Callithrix jacchus: one gene and its partner. The protein of the gene in region 2 binds, or shares a complex with, the protein of the main gene of each other region. Links are inferred from orthologs where the notes say so. Each region holds a gene or a part of one and is shown on either strand. Other genes may lie near its edges.

Evidence for each region.
Region 1: the proteins of tubulin alpha-1B chain (region 2) and MATCAP1 are in contact, whole or in part, in a cryo-EM structure (PDB 7Z6S), measured with the Homo sapiens proteins. The link is inferred for Callithrix jacchus from reciprocal best matches to the Homo sapiens genes TUBA1B and MATCAP1. Residues at the interface, in NP_006073.2 of Homo sapiens: Asp345, Trp346, Arg422, Glu423, Ala426, Ala427, Glu429, Lys430, Asp431, Glu433, Glu434, Val435, Gly436, Val437, Asp438, Ser439, Val440, Glu441; in NP_001035805.1 of Homo sapiens: Lys219, Cys220, Trp223, Val226, Arg227, Gly237, Glu238, Val239, Val240, Val241, Gln242, Leu243, Met253, Met254, Val255, Glu256, Asn257, Ser258, Arg259, Pro260, Thr261.

The regions. Positions count from the first base shown.
Region 1 is NC_133521.1:24,685,071-24,688,772, forward strand, and holds the end of MATCAP1 (microtubule-associated tyrosine carboxypeptidase 1), read right to left. Parts: coding exon 3,431-3,702; intron 3,335-3,430; coding exon 3,237-3,334; intron 1,865-3,236; coding exon 1,700-1,864; 3' UTR 541-1,699; downstream 1-540. Other genes in the region: NOL3 (nucleolar protein 3), read left to right, coding at 1-1. UniProt on the Homo sapiens protein: Tyrosine carboxypeptidase that removes the C-terminal tyrosine residue of alpha-tubulin, thereby regulating microtubule dynamics and function. Also able to remove the C-terminal phenylalanine residue of alpha-tubulin TUBA8.
Region 2 is NC_133510.1:70,423,726-70,428,330, reverse strand, and holds the start of tubulin alpha-1B chain, read right to left. Parts: upstream 3,084-4,605; 5' UTR 2,989-3,083; coding exon 2,986-2,988; exon of another isoform or gene 2,579-2,985; intron 1,066-2,578; coding exon 843-1,065; intron 721-842; coding exon 572-720; intron 1-571. UniProt on the Homo sapiens protein: Tubulin is the major constituent of microtubules, protein filaments consisting of alpha- and beta-tubulin heterodimers. Microtubules grow by the addition of GTP-tubulin dimers to the microtubule end, where a stabilizing cap forms.

The DNA of each region.
Region 1 (3,702 bases), on a different chromosome or scaffold from region 2:
AAGGCCAGAGCACTGACCGGCTGTGCACCGCCCATGCTGGATAGGACCTGGGATGCTGCCGGAGCTGGATCAGATGCCACCAAGGCTCGGTCCAGCCCAGTACCGCTAGAAGTAAAGAAACTCCCGAGGGTCAGCCAGGTCCTGGGCTCTCTCCATGATTCTGGCTGTTTGCCCAGGAACTGAGGGTGGGTGCCCCTGAGTCTCAGTGACCTGGGCAGCCCCAAGCCCACCACAATCACCACCCAGTCCTAATCTGCCCCTAGGAGCCCAGGCTGCACCCTGGAGACCTCAGACCCAGTGCCCTATTGGGACAAGGACCTGACCCTCATGCCCACATACACAACCCATTTTCCCTAATGAGTCACTTGGCAGCCTGTGTAGGTACCAGCTCAACCCCATGCAAGTCCCTGGGTTTAACATGTAGCAAGTGGAGGGGGACTTCTCTCCATGTAGGGAGGGCTTAGAGCTCACAGACTTGAGAAGTGAGACTAGAAGAGGGGAGCAGAAAGAGGGGAGTAGACAGAGGCCACAGACATCATATCATTGTCATTACTGTTTTAATTGTCTGGCTTCCCTCTGGACTGGGAGCTCAGTGAGGATTCTGACTAGTAACTTACACAAAAGACACTGTACACATATTATATTTGCTGACTAAATGAATAAGGACTTTCCAACTGCGTTTCTGAGTTTTACAGATGGGAAAACTAAGGCCAGAGGGTAGGAGTGGGGTTCACACAGCTAAGTCTGAAGGGAAACTGGAAGCAGCAACACCTATGCACCTCACCTGGTCTAGGAGGGGTTCAGGACTTGGGCCACCAAACTCTAGGGGCCTGTCCCTCAGACGCAATTGTAGCTGCTCCTAGGCTGTGCTAACCTCTGCCAGAAACCAGCTGTGAGAGTGTGGGCAAAGACAGGAACAGCAGAGGCCAGTGGAGGGGTGGGGACAGGGCCAAGGGAACTTTTGGGCTTGACTCACAAGGCCTGAATCACTGTGTGTGTGTGTGTGTGTGTGTGTGTGTGTGTGTGTGTGTGTGTAATGTGAGTGGGGCTGGGAAAATCGGTGCCTTCCAGGAAGGAGTATCCTGTTCTCCCCATGGAATCTTCAGGAGCTGCTGCTCCCAGCCATAGGAAATAGAGCACATAAATATGGAATAAATACATAATCAGTGAGAGAGGCAAAGTGTTGTAAAGAATACCCCAGACCAGCTGGGTCTCTACTGACCCCAGGCTCAGGCCATCAATCACCCCAGGAGAAGGGATCCCAACCCCCACCAGGACCCAGTGAGAGGTAGACAGCACAAATGCTGAAGGAGCACCGAGGGGCCAGGTGGGGTAAGGGAGACACTGGAGTACCCAGCCACCCAAAGCCATCTCATGCAAGAACAAGTTTCTATTCCCAAACAAACCCATCCCCATTAATGCTCAGCTCCGTTCCTGCCCCCATGCCTTCCCTCTGTTCAACAGAGAGCTGGAAGGAGGAGGGCAACTCAATTTGCCAGACATGCTGCTACATGTCCCCAGGCCCCAAGAAGGCTAGCAATGGACACAAACCCTCTGATATTGACGCTCCTCACGGAATGCTCCCGCCCTCTCAACACCCCCAAGAAACACCCAGGAAGCACAGAGCAAACAGCTTCATGTTCTGGGGGCCTATCTGGAGCTTCTGTCCAGGGCCTCTGCCTGCAGCCCTCAACTGACATCACTCTGGCAGCAGACGACCCAGCTCTGCCTCATCCAGCCGGTTGGTGGCCATGATGTGCTCCAGCTGCTGCCGGTAGCGTGCTAAGTCCTGCATGAAGTGGGGCACCCGGGTATTATCCAGCACCCCATGGGGCCGCAGGTGGTCCACATCCTCATAGGACACCTGCAGGAGGAAGCTGGGCATCAGGCATAGGCAGTAGCCCCTGACTTTCAGGTGGCCGGTCCCAGCCCACTGCTTACAGCTTATTGCCCTTTGGTCCGCGACTCCTTCCTCTCCCCTCCTGATCCACAAGCAGCTACAACGTTTTGTACTACAACATTCTAGGCTCAATCCTGGGTCTTTGCTTTTTCTCTTAATAGTTTCTGTCAGAGATCTCCTACGACCCCACTCCTCTCTCCAGCCCAGCCTCTCCCCTCACCTCCAAACATGGGCATCCAACTGCCTCCTTAACGTCTTCCCCTGGATAGCCCTCAGACTGGCCCCATATCCAACGGTCAACTCCTGGGTGCCAGCTTATGCTAGCTCCACCCTCTTCACAGTCACCCAGGTCAGATTCCAGGGAGGGGGCTTGGACTCTCACCCTCCCATCAGGGAAGCCACTGAGTTAAAAGGATTCCCCTCTCTGAAGAGTCCTCCAGCTAGTCCCTTCCTCTCAAACCCCATGGCCACTGCCTGGTTATGCCAGACCACCATCCCTTCTGCAGGAGTGACAGGAAAGGCCTCCTCCTCATGCCCTTTCCCTCCCTTCCCTAGGCCTCTCTCCAATCCACCTCCCATAAAACATCCAGAGGGCACCTTCTAAAGCAAATTATCAGTGCCACTCCTCTGCTTAAAGCGCCTCCCGCCGGGCGCGGTGGCTCACGCCTATAATCCCAGCACTTTGGGAGGCCAAGGCGGGTGGATCACGAGGTCAAGAGATGGAGACCATCCTGGTCAACAAGGTGAAACCCCGTCTCTAGTAAAAATACAAAAAAATTAGCTGGGCATGGTGGTGTATGCCTGTAGTCCCAGCTACTCGGGAGGCTGAGGCAGGAGAATTGCTTGAACCCAGAAGTCGGAGGTTGCAGTGAGCCGAGATCGTGCCATTGCACTCCAGTCTGGGTAACAACAGAGAAACTCCGTCTCAAAAAAATAAATAAATAAAAATTAAAAAAAAAAAAAAAGCTCCTCCCACTCCCTGTTGCTTCAGATGAGGTCTACATTCCTTGGCCTGGCACAAATGCCAGTGCGCCAGTACCAGGGAGTTGGTCAATGTCCTTTTCTGCAGCCTCCTTCCCCTGGCCTTCCTGATTGCTCCCTTGGCCTAGAATGTTCACCTCCTTTGAGATGCAGTTTCTAAACACACCTGCAGCCTCCATTAGGCATATGATTTTAGCTGTCAGAGTCATTTCATCTCCTGTTCTCACTTCCACCCACGCTTCCCCCGCCAGCAGAGGCCTGACACCCAACCCTCAGTCCAGCACCAATCTGAGGCTCAGGGTATACTATGGCAAAGCAGGGAGCTGGCTGAGGCTCTCAAGGTCCAATCCCTCACCTTGCCCAGTGAGGTCAGCAGCGGGAAATCAATGGTCTGGCGATGTCGCAGAATGCGCACGATGCCGTCTAGGTACACCTGGTCCTTGCTGAAACAACCTGGGAGCGCGGGAAGTCGGTGAGCCTGGCCACTCGCCCGAGGCCCTACCTCTAGACCCACCCCACCCTAGGCACCTCCCCTACGCTGGCGCCCACCCGGAAGCGAGGTGTCTGTCTGGCCGCGCTTGGCGCGCACGCAGTACTCCCAGCGCACGTTGGCGTCCTGCACGTAGCGCGCTAGGTCCTGGAAGAGCTGGCGGAAGGACATGCGCGCGGCACGGTGGATGGTGTAGTAGAGAAGCGCGGCGCGCCACAGGAACGGCTGCTTGCGGAACAGCACGCTGTGCAGGCTGGCCAGGCCCTCCTCTGTGGGGTTCGCCGGCCGCAGCCCATACCGCAACCGGCCCTCCGCGTTGTGCCACGGCTGG
Region 2 (4,605 bases):
TATTTTCATTTTTCACATATCTCCCAGGACTTAAATCTTATTTTAACAAATGCTTTTTAGAAAATTCTCATTAACATTTACAAAATGACACAAAATAGTTCATTTTAACTGAATTTTTAAAACCCCAAAGGAATAACTCATTCCACTCTTTACTAAAATAACAGTTCAATTCTGTGTTTAAAAAAAAGAACAAACAGCATTATGGCCGGGCGGGGTGGCTCATGCCTGTAATCCCAGCACTTTGGGAGGCCGAGGCGGGTAGATCACGAGGTCAAGAGATCAAGACCATCCTGGTCAACATGGTGAAACCCTGTCTCTACTAAAAATACAAAAAATTATCTGGGCACGGTGGCACGTGCCTGTAATCCCAGCTACTCAGGAGGCTGAGGCAGGAGAATTGCCTGAACCCAGGAGGCGGAGGTTGCAGTGAGCCGAGATCGCCCCATTGCACTCTGGCCTGGGTAACAAGAGCGAAACTCAGTCTCAAAAAACAAAAAAAATCCCCAACAAAACAGCATTATTTCAAATGTCCTTTTAAGGCAGATTAATTTACTTTATTCTTGAAACATACCAGTTTACGAATTCGGTCCAACACGAGGTCAATGATCTCCTTGCCGATGGTGTAGTGCCCTCGGGCATAGTTATTGGCAGCATCTTCCTTGCCTGTGATGAGCTGTTCAGGGTGGAAGAGCTGGCGGTAGGTGCCAGTGCGAACTTCATCTGGAGGAGGGACAGGAGGACAGAAGGACTGGGTGAGTGAGCGAGTAACCAGCAGATCCCCCAGGACAGACCTCCTGTCCCAGCACCCTGGGATCTCACTTGGGTTACCGAGGCCAACTCACCAATGACCGTGGGTTCCAGGTCTACAAACACTGCCCGGGGCACGTGCTTGCCAGCACCCGTCTCACTGAAGAAGGTGTTGAAGGAGTCATCTCCTCCCCCAATGGTCTTGTCACTTGGCATCTGGCCATCGGGCTGGATGCCATGTTCCAGGCAGTAGAGCTCCCAGCAGGCATTGCCAATCTGGACACCAGCCTGGCCAACGTGGATGGAGATGCACTCACGCTGTGGGAGAAAAAAATACATCACAACTTAATCTGTTGGTGACTGTCAAGTGAAACAAAATACTCATGCAATCTTTATTTTTAGTGATAAGTTCTGTTGCTTAGGTTTGAGTGCAGTGGTGCCGGTTCATCGCAGCCTCAACCTCCTGAGCTCAAGTCATCCCCCATGCAATCTTTATTTTTAGTGATAAGTTCTGTTGCTTAGGTTTGAGTGCAGTGGTGCCGTCCAGGTTCATCGCAGCCTCAACCTCCTGAGCTCAAGTCATCCCCCTACTCCAGCCTCCAGGGCAGCTGGGACCACAGGCACAGGCCACCACGGCTGGCTTATTTTTTCTTTTTTGGAGGAGATGAGTCTGGTTATGTTACCCAGGCTATCACATAATCTTAAAAAAATTTTTTTTTCTTTTTTAAAGCGACATAAGATGTATTACTCTTTTGAGAACAGCTACATTATAGGGTCTATATCGCTTTTAACGCATGTTACCTTCCCATTAATAAACGGGGAAGGCCTTCTTCCAGATCACGACAGCTTAGTCACAGCTTCCTCCTTTGGAGGACCAAGACAGGAGGGTGGGCATCCATCCAGCGCTCCGGCCCCAGAATCCCACTTTAGATTGAGTGGCCACATTTCCGGGCAGCTCCTAGCACAGGAAAAGCACGTGGCCAGACCAGCGCAGAAATGTCTGTCCGCAGGGACAAGGGGTGGGGCTATGCGGCACAGGATGAATGAGCAATTCAGGGCGCGCGCTCCCGCGCCCCCCGGGGGCGCTGCAGAGGCACGAAATGGCCACGTCTGCAAAGGCGCTGCCCAGGCTGCCCATCCTCCCTTGCCTGCCGGCATCGAGCTCAGCCTAACACCTCCACAGCAGTCTGAGCGCAGTAGGGGATTATCGGCGGCCCAGATCTGAACCAAGATCCGATTTCCGTTCCCTCAAAATCCCTCACTGGCACCACCTGCTCCCCAGAATTCCCAACGCAGCAGGGAGAGACAGGTGGCCTCTAAAGGCTGTTGTGAACTAAGTGTCCTAATACACTGGTGTAGTGCGGTACACTTCCTCACATTCCTCTTATTGCATTTTTTAATTTTTATTTTTTGAGATGGAGTCTGGCTCTGTCGCCCAGGCTGGATTGCAGTGGCACGACCTCTGCTCACTGCAACTTCCACCTCCCAGGTTCAAGCGATTCGCCTGCCTCAGCCTTCCGAGTAGCTGGGACTACAAGGCGTGCACTACCAAGTCCGGCCAATTTTTGCATTTTTAGTGGAGACAGGGCTTCACCATGTTGGCCAAGCTGATCTCAAACTCCTGACCTCAGGTGATCCACCCCGCCCGGCCCCTCTTACTGCTTCCATTTAAAAAAAAAACCCTCAGGTCAACAAGAGACACGCCCTGAAGCCGTAGTCGCGCCGCCACCAGCGCGCATGCGCAGACCGCAGTGGTGGTTTCCCGCCCTGCAGCGGCGGGAAGGTAACGGTCGCGCGTGCGCGCTTTTGTCTCCAGCGCCTTCCCACCCCCGCTTTTCGCGATCAAGAGGAAGTGAGGGCTAGAAGAGTCGGCGCGCGCGTCCACCCAAGGCGGGGGAAGGGCATGCGCTGTAAAGGACTGCTGGGACTCGAGGTGCCGCGCCCAGGACAGAGTTACGCGCTAAAAGAGAGCTCCGGATAAGGCGGAGGGCTGAGCCCTCCCATCCCTTCCAGAGTCTGAGAAGAAATCCTGGCGCCCCTCAACCTTTCCGGGCCCCCGCCATTTACAAAGACCGAGGTCTCACGACTCCGGATCTGGCATCTCGTCCCGCTTGCCGCCCTTCAAACGGACGGCTCTGGGGCCAGCCTTCCCCCGCTGTATACAGGCTCCCCCACACCCCGCCGACTCGCGTATCCCTGCTGCCCTGAAAGCGGCCGGCAGCCGCGCGGCCCACTCACCATAGTGGCTAGGGATTAGGAGGCGAAGGCGACAGGAGGAGACACCGGGTCCCGGTTACCGTCCCCGACAAGCTAAGAGTCGAGGTAAGTAACGCACTGGGGCGGGGCGAGCGCTGGAGCCTCTTAAGTAGTGGCTGCGGAGGGGCGGGCGGGCACAGGCGGTGCCGCGGCCGGGAGCCCCTCCTCCGGCCCGGCGCGCCCACTCGGCGCCAGGCCTGGCCGCCGCAAAGGCGGGCTCCAGCCCCGAGCCCCCTCCCCTCGCGTGGCCGCGGGGCGGGGTCCGCCGCGCCTGCGGGCCGCGCGCGCCAGTGCTGCAGTGTGCGGCGCATGGCTGCGAGGGCCTGGCGGGGGGGCGGGCGCGAGTCGGAAAGACACCGATCGCGGAATGGGCGAGGAGGCTTGCCTTAATTCGCAGGAAGCCTAGGACTTGGGAGAGCCATACAATTTGAAAGATGAGGCACCGTGAAATGCAGAAACTTGTGGTTCGGATAGCTCAGCTGATTAATTTCATGTTGCCACTGTTTGTGAGTTTTGCCTTTTTATTTTCTCAGTTCGTTCTGTGCTTACCTGATAATGTGAAAAACACGAGCTTTAGAAAACCGAGTAGGTGTACTTGGTTTACTGTAATGACTTGTTCTCGAAAGTTAGGGTACCAAACGCTGGAGGCAAATAATATTTCAGTCATTCGAAGAACAGTGCCCGAGCATTTAACATTGAAGCTGTTAAAAGGGCAGAGTAGGCCCGAATTTTGGATCGAAGCCATCAACTTTATGGAACAGTCCTAGGGGCTTTTTGAAAAGGAGATTTAAAAACACATTTCAGAGGTGATAGCCGAGTTAAGGAAGTGAGAAAAAACTTGGATAGGGAGGAAATAAATGGACACTGAAGGATGTTAGGAAGTAGGGATTCCTTGTGCAACTTAGAGTTTTGTAAATAAGACTGCTTGGCCTTATGTCAAGATACATCAGTTGGTTATAGCTTAGCGCTTGGAGGCCTACGTTATAGTAGACTAGTTCTCCCTCCGCCCCGCCCCTTGAAAATCTATTTCAAGACCATAAACCACATTGCTAATCCTTGGAAATGCAGAAGAAGGTGGTTAGGTTTAAAATGTGGCTTTAAAATGGTCCTAGCAGAAACCTATTGATGTTACTATTCAAAATATCTGCCCAGTATATAGGAAACAAAAAGGTAAAACCTAAAACACTAGAAATTCATAGTTCATCTTCAGTTATTAGCCTATTAAGATTTGGTAAAGCCTTCATCCTTCATTTCAGACAAATAAATTTATGTGGTTAATAAGTGTGTATTTTGTAATGAGTTATGTGTGTGTATGTGTGTGTGTGTGTGTCCACCCATCTGAACTTGACCTGCAAACCAGGAGGTTCTTGTTTATTTCTGGTAAATATTTTTGATAGTCTTATTAAAGGCATTTAATTCAAAAATCCAAATTTGCACACATTTTTCCAGCTGAGTAGAGAAGGCTGGAATGTTTGAATATTGAATATTCAATTCAATATTCAGTTCTCACTTATTTTTTCCTCTTATTCTTTAAAAAAAAAATTAAGCCAGTTAAATTTAGAAGTGGGGGGTTGTATACCAATTTTAGTGACACTAATGTTA